2 linked regions of the Macaca fascicularis genome follow. The protein of the gene in region 1 purifies or fractionates together with the protein of each later gene. This does not show direct contact. Links are inferred from orthologs where the notes say so. Each region holds a gene or a part of one and is shown on either strand. Other genes may lie near its edges.

Region 1 (3,500 bases):
ACCCTGTCTCTACAAAAATTACAAAAAGTAGCTGGGTGTGGTGATGTGCTCCTGTTGTCTCAGCTACTTGGGAGGCTGAGGCAGGAGAATCACTTCAGCCTGGGAGTCGGAGGTTTCAGTGAGTCGAGATTGCGTCATTGCACTCTAGCCTGGGTGACAAGAGTGAAACCCTGTCTCAAAAAAAAAAAAAAAAAATTTAGCTGAGTGTGGTAGCATATATTTGTGGTCCCAGCTAAAGCTGGAGAGGCTGAGGTGGGAAGATCACCTGAGCCCAGGAGGCCAAGGCTACAGTGAGTAAGCCATGATTGTACCAGAGTGTACTCTAGCCTAGGCAACAGGATGAGACCGCTTTTTTTTTTTGGACAGAGTATCACTCTTGTTGCCCAGGCTGTAGTGCAATGGCACAATTTTGGCTCACTGTGACCTCCACCTCCCGGGTTCAAGCAGTTCTCCTGCCTCAGCCTCCTGAGTAGCTGGGACTACAGGTGCCTGCCACCATGCCCGGCTAATTTTTTGTATTTTTAGTAGAGACGGGGTTTCACCATGTTGGCCAGGTTGGTTTTGAACTCCTGACCTCGTGATCTGCCCGCCTTGGCCTCCCAAAATGCTGGGATTACAGCCGTGAGCCACGGTGCCCAGCCTGAGACCCTGTCTTTAAAAAAACAAAACAAAACAAAAAAAAAAAACGCTGTAAATCTTGAGAGTGGAGTGGAAATGAGATGAGGGGGGACATTTGGTCCGAATGGCTTAGGTTATGATGTTATATCTAATTATTTTTTGTGGGACAGAGTTTTGCTCTTGTTGCCCAGGCTGGAGTGCAATGCGTGATCTTGGCTCACTGCGACCTCTGCCTCCCGGGTTCAGGTGATTCTCCTGCCTCAGCCTCCCAAGCAGTTGGGATTACAGACAGGTGCCACTACGCCTAGCTAATTTTTTTGTTTTTTGTCTAATTAGTAGAGACGGGTTTCACCATGTTGGCCAGGCTGGTCTCAAACTCCTGACCTGGTGATCTGCCTGCCTTGGCCTCCCAAAGTACTGGGATTACAGGCGTAAGCCACTGCGCCTGTCTCATGTCTAATTATTCTTTTTTATTTATTTATTTTTTTTTTTTTGAGACGGAGTCTCGCTCTGTCGCCCAGGCTGGAGTGCAGTGGCCGGATCTCAGCTCACTGCAACCTCCGCCTCCTGGGTTTACGCCATTCTCCTGCCTCAGCCTCCCGAGTAGCTGGGACTACAGGTGCCCGCCACCTCACCCGGCTAGTTTTCTGTATTTTTTTTTTTTTTTTTTTAGTAGAGACGGGGTTTCACCGTGTTAGCCAGGATGGTCTCGATCTCCCGACCTCGTGATCCGCCCGTCTCGGCCTCCCAAAGTGCTGGGATTACAGGCTTGAGCCACCGTGCCCGGCCGTCTAATTATTCTTACCCCAAATGAAGATCTCTTTTGGAGGTGAGCTCCTTTTTTTTTTTTTTTTTTTTTTTTAGATGAAGTCTTGCTCTTGTTCCCCCAGGCTGGAGTGCGATGGCGCGATCTCAGCTCACTGCAACCTCTGCCTCCGGGGTTCAAGTGATTCTTCTGCCTCAGCCTCCTGAGTAGCTGGGATTACAGGCGCGTACCACCACACCTGGCTAATTTTTGTATTTTTAGTAGAGACAGGGTTTCACCATGTTGGCCAGGCTGGTCTTACACTCCTGACCTCAGGTGATCTGCCCGCCTTGGCCTCCCAAAGTGCTGGGATTATAGGCATGAGTCACCACGCCCAGCTGTGAGCTCCTTATTAAGTACCTATTTGGTATCTTTAAACCATAGTTTCTCTGTAACCTTTTTCTGGATTCTCTAAACTAAGGTCCAAGTGAAAATCTTATTCTTTATTCTCTGTGGTCTTTTCTGGTTTTTTTCTCAGCATGTTTGTTGATAATTTTGTGATGTGACCTGCTCTGTCTACCTGTCCCATTTATCACACATGATCTTTTTTCTCACGTGCTTTGATTATTGAGGGGTCAAGTGAAGACCCAGAGTCTATCAGCCACATTGGGCTTCTCTCCCCTAGTCACTTCGCTATCCAAGCCCTGTGTCCTCTTCATTCTCCCTTCTAGTCAAGAACCCTATTGAGGCAAGTGTCTTGCTGGCTGAAGCCTCGCTGGCACGGAAGCAGCGGAAAACACATACTACCTTTATTCCACTGATGCTGAATGAGATGCCACAGATTGGGGACCTGGTGGGTCTGGATGCTGAGTTTGTCACCCTTAATGAGGTAACCAAGACCAAAGGGATGGGGCATTGGAAGAGAACTCTGAGGATATTAGGAGTTGTAAGCATTTCTCTGATTTCCTTATTAACTCTTCTCATGTAGGAGGAAGCAGAGTTACGCAGTGATGGTACCAAGTCTACCATTAAACCAAGTCAGATGTCAGTAGCCAGGATTACCTGTGTCCGGGGCCAGGGACCTAATGAGGGTATCCCCTTCATTGATGACTACATCTCTACCCAGGAGCAGGTATTAAGATACAGAGATGCAAGTGAGGCACACCCTGGTACTTATGTACAGTGCTCAAGAACCCAGGGAAGAGTGATAGGGGAAAACTCCACCTCACTTCCTGAAAAAGACTTGTCCTTTTCTCTATTCCTAGGTGGTGGATTACTTGACTCAATACTCGGGTATAAAGCCTGGTGACCTCGATGCCAAAATTTCCTCCAAGCACCTAACAACTCTCAAGTCTACCTACTTAAAGCTTCGTTTTCTCATTGACATTGGAGTCAAGTTTGTGGGTCATGGCCTGCAGAAGGACTTCCGGGTCATCAACCTGATGGTTTGGCAGGGCTCTTTTAAGAGTCTTCTTGTGAGAGTGGGCCCCTCAGGGTATACACTGTGCCTTCAGAGAATGGGAAATTATAGTCCCCTACCTTAAGTCTCCCCCTCTTTTATCTTTGCCAGGTGCCCAAGGACCAAGTCCTTGATACTGTCTACCTGTTCCACATGCCCCGAAAACGAATGATTTCCCTGCGATTCCTTGCTTGGTACTTTCTGGGTGAGTTGCTCTGCCTTGTAGGCCCCTGTGGTGTACATTAATAGCAGAAGCAGCCATTTAAAAAAAAAGCAATCGTGTCCTTTGCAGCAACATGGATGGAGCTGTGGGCCATCATACTAAGTGAACTAACTCAGAAACAGAAAATCAGATACCACATATTCTCACTTATAAGTTGGAACTAAACAATGAGTACATATGGACATAAGGATGGAAATAATAGACACTGGGGACTCTAAAAGTGGGGTTGGTGGGGGATGGGTGAGGGTTGAAAATTACGTATTGGCTGCATAGTTCACTATTTGCATATTAGGGATACCAGAAGCCCAGTCCTCACCAGTACATGATATACCCATGTAGCAAATATGCACATGTACCCCAAATCTAAAATAAAATTTAAACATAAAAAATAAAAGCATGGGGGGAAAAGACAAAGTAGGAAAAGTGTTAAGAGGACAAAGTGGGAGTAGGGGTGA
Region 2 (3,500 bases), on another chromosome or scaffold:
AGTGTTGGCTTTGCTGTTGACTTTGCATGTATGTCCTGTGGTGTTTATAGCCCGACTTACCTCACCTGCCTATTTAGTTGCTCAGAAAACCAGAAATAATTATGTTGAGGCTCTTCAGAAAGTACAGAGGGCTATTCAGAGAAAAGAAAAGTATTACTTCAGTTCTCTGCTTATTTTTGTTCACCTACATGTTTTCAGAAAACATGTTGGTATCTTATGAATTATTAGACATTGAAACTCATATCCCTGGTAATCATAATTTTGTGACTAGAGGCATTTTTTGGTAACCCTTTTCTTGTATTGTGAGGTGGCATATTACCTCAGTGTTGAAGGTTTTTAGGCATTCACCAAATAGCCAGAAAACAGTTCCTGGATAAGCTCTTTTTTTTTCAGGAAGAGTAACTGTTGCTCTAAATACCCTTTTTAATCTGCTCAGAACTGATCACTCCATTAAGCCTTTGATTAACTCTACCTGGTTTTAATTAATTTGCATTTCATCAGCATTTATGCATGTAGTTGTAGTGCATTAGTGTATATATATTTTTTTAAGTTATTTTATGTCTTTTACATGTGACCTGGTCTTTTTTTCTCAGCTAGCTTGGAATCTCCTGAAGGGTAAAGACAATTGTCCTTTCCCTTTCTCCAATGATAGAGGGTGCTCTGCACATAATGTTTCTTATTGGTTGTGGTGGTTCCTCTAGAACATAATGGTATCAATTGGCCTAATTTTAAATAGTACGCATCTGTAGAAATTTTCAGGATATGCCTGTTTAGAGTTAATGACAAAAAGGCATCAGAACAACAGACTGCTTGATATTAAACATATGGCACTTAAGCTGCTATGTATTTCAACTTTTTTTTTTTTTTTTTGCTTTTTCAAACAATTTTGTTAATTATATTTGGCTGAATGAAATCTAGTAGCTCTTCATAGATAATTTGAATTTTTAATACTGTAATATGTTTGGGGAATGTGCTATTTGTATTGTTAATGATTCTTAATAAAAAAGGAATTATGCCTTTTATAAAAGTTTTTCTTTTATAAAAGGCTTAATTTTATAAAGAGCCCCAATTCGGTTACTTCCCACCCTTCCATTAATTTATTAAATTTTTGGTCATTCTTGCTATTAAAGTTTGTGATGTAAACCTTGATATGGAGGAGACTGTTCTTTCAATAAATCTGCTAACATATTTGGGAATAACTACATTTGAAAAAAGAAACTTTACATTTGCTTTAGTCAGAGCTTTTTCTACAACAAAACAAGATAAAATTATTTCCTTCATCTTTGTGCACTTAAGATCCCAAAGATGATGTTTCTTCCAAATGAATGTTTGCATTTTATTTTCCAGACTTTTTCTCTAAAACCATTTATTGCTCCATTAAGAAACATTTTTACATCTTCTTCAGGAATGTCGTTGTCTGCTGGGTCTTCCCCTCTTCATTCCCCCAAGATTACTCCACATACTTCTCCTGCTCCCAGAAGAAGAAGTCACACTCCAAATCCAGCAAGTTACATGGTGCCTTCTAGTGCCTCTACATCTGTTAATAATCCTGTTTCTCAGACTCCATCTTCTGGTCAGGTGATCCAAAAGGAAACTGTTGGTGGAACGACTTACTTCTATACAGACACAACTCCAGCACCTTTGACTGGAATGGTATGTTTGCATTAAAGAGGACATTTTAGTACTCTCTTGTAACAGGTCCTTTTAGTAATGAGGTGGTCCACCCCCTCCTGCAGCTTTTTATTGTGATGCAAAAAAGTATTTCATTTTCTCACTTAGATGAGAAGTCTAGTCTCTTCTCAACTCTTCAAATTTATCTAGTTCTGCCTTACTAATAACTCTAGTTTTAGACTAATCTGGTTTAATCAGAAATTAGATTATATCCATGCTCTTACTTTAGTACTCTATGGCATGTTTTGCTTATGGGTTTACCTTGTACTAGCTGGAGTTGATGCCTGCTGACATTTGTTTTTAGGTATAGATAGTTTAACCTCTAGTAAGAAGCTAGAAAAAGTAGATGGTATGTCCTCAGTAGTTACTGGAAGCAAATCAATGATAAACCCTTATTTCAGATGAGGTGGTTATTTAACAGCTAGATCTGTGGATGGTGGAGTGACACATAGTGATAAGGGGCCTGCAGTATGGCCCTTTGCTAAGGAGGTAGAAGAGTCAGACCAAAGAGAGCCATGATTATAGATGAGGAAAGAGTTACCAAAGGACTGGTGATGAAGTGAGAGAAGAATCATGAAACAGTTGGGAAGAGGTGGCCCCAGAGGAGACATGAATATGAAGACCAAGAGAGGAAGAACATGGCCAGAAAGAAAGATTTCTTATCAGAGTCAATTAGTAATGTTCCAGGACAGGGAGAAGGGACAGGAGTCAAGGGGGCGAGAATGAATGGAGAAGGAGAGGGAAGGATTCCATGTTATGTAAATTGTACCTTTTTTAGCTTCATTACTTCGTCCGTATTCAAAAATTATTTTATTTACCCTAGAAAAATAAGTAGTAGATGAAGGCCTCATGAGTGAGAAAGCCAGAGTCCACTAAAACAGGGGTCCCTAATCCTTGAACCATAGACCAGTGTTAGGAACCAGGCCTCACAGCAGGAGGTGAGCAGTGGGCAAGTAAGTGAAGTTTCATCTGTATTTACACCCACTCCCCATTGCTCTCATTACCATCTGAGCTCCTCCTTGTGTCAGATCAGTGGCGGCATTAGATTCCATAGGAACATGAACCCTGTTGTAAACTGTGCATGCCAAGGATCTAGGTTGTGTGCTCCTTATGAGAATCTAGTCCTTGATGATCTGTCACTGTTTCCCATCACGCCCAGATGGGACTGCCTAGTTGCAGGAAAACAAGCTCCCATTGATTCTATATTACGGTAAGTTGTATAATTATTTCATTATATGTTACAATGTGATAATAATAGAAATAAAGTGCACAATCAATGTAATGCATTTGAATCATGCCAAAAATATCCCTTCACCCCCACCCCCTTGTCCATGGAAAAATTGTCTTCCGCGAAATCAGTCCCTGGTGCCAAAAAGGTTGGGGATTGCTACATTAAAATAACGGAAGCTGATCTAATCTATAGACATTTGACAGTCATAGATGATAGGCTTATATGAAACATTATTTGGATTTCAATATGCCGTTTTGATCCTCAAAGTTAACTTATTTTGATTGAATTTAATATTTTACTAAGAGAATTTGAGTGAAAAGAAAGCATACTTCTTTTTTTTGTTTGCGCCACATTGTTTTTAGACTCGTGAATCTATGTACTTATGAAACTGTTTCTCCAATTGTAAAATAAGGATATTAATACCTAACTATTCTATGAGAAATAGATGTGAAAACATTTATAGAAATAGTTGTAAGTCATGTAAACTGCTTTTTAAAAATAATAAAATAGCTAACAGTTTTGTGGGCTTTTTAAAAATCAGAAATCTTTCAAACATTATCACAGAACCACTTTCCAAACAGAAGATCAAAAAAATAGG

Evidence for each region. Proteins that work in one complex are often made in the same cells at the same time.
Region 2: the proteins of PAN2 (region 1) and PAN3 purify together in Homo sapiens (co-immunoprecipitation; 5 studies listed by BioGRID and IntAct, with this or other methods). This does not show direct contact. The link is inferred for Macaca fascicularis from reciprocal best matches to the Homo sapiens genes PAN2 and PAN3.

Annotation. Positions count from the first base shown.
Region 1 is NC_088385.1:63,121,301-63,124,800, reverse strand, and holds part of PAN2 (PAN2-PAN3 deadenylation complex catalytic subunit PAN2), read left to right. Parts: intron 1-2,094; coding exon 2,095-2,252; intron 2,253-2,351; coding exon 2,352-2,495; intron 2,496-2,628; coding exon 2,629-2,838; intron 2,839-2,933; coding exon 2,934-3,027; intron 3,028-3,500. UniProt on the Homo sapiens protein: Catalytic subunit of the poly(A)-nuclease (PAN) deadenylation complex, one of two cytoplasmic mRNA deadenylases involved in general and miRNA-mediated mRNA turnover.
Region 2 is NC_088391.1:8,180,425-8,183,924, forward strand, and holds part of PAN3 (PAN2-PAN3 deadenylation complex subunit PAN3), read left to right. Parts: intron 1-1,405; coding exon 1,406-1,653; intron 1,654-3,500. UniProt on the Homo sapiens protein: Regulatory subunit of the poly(A)-nuclease (PAN) deadenylation complex, one of two cytoplasmic mRNA deadenylases involved in general and miRNA-mediated mRNA turnover.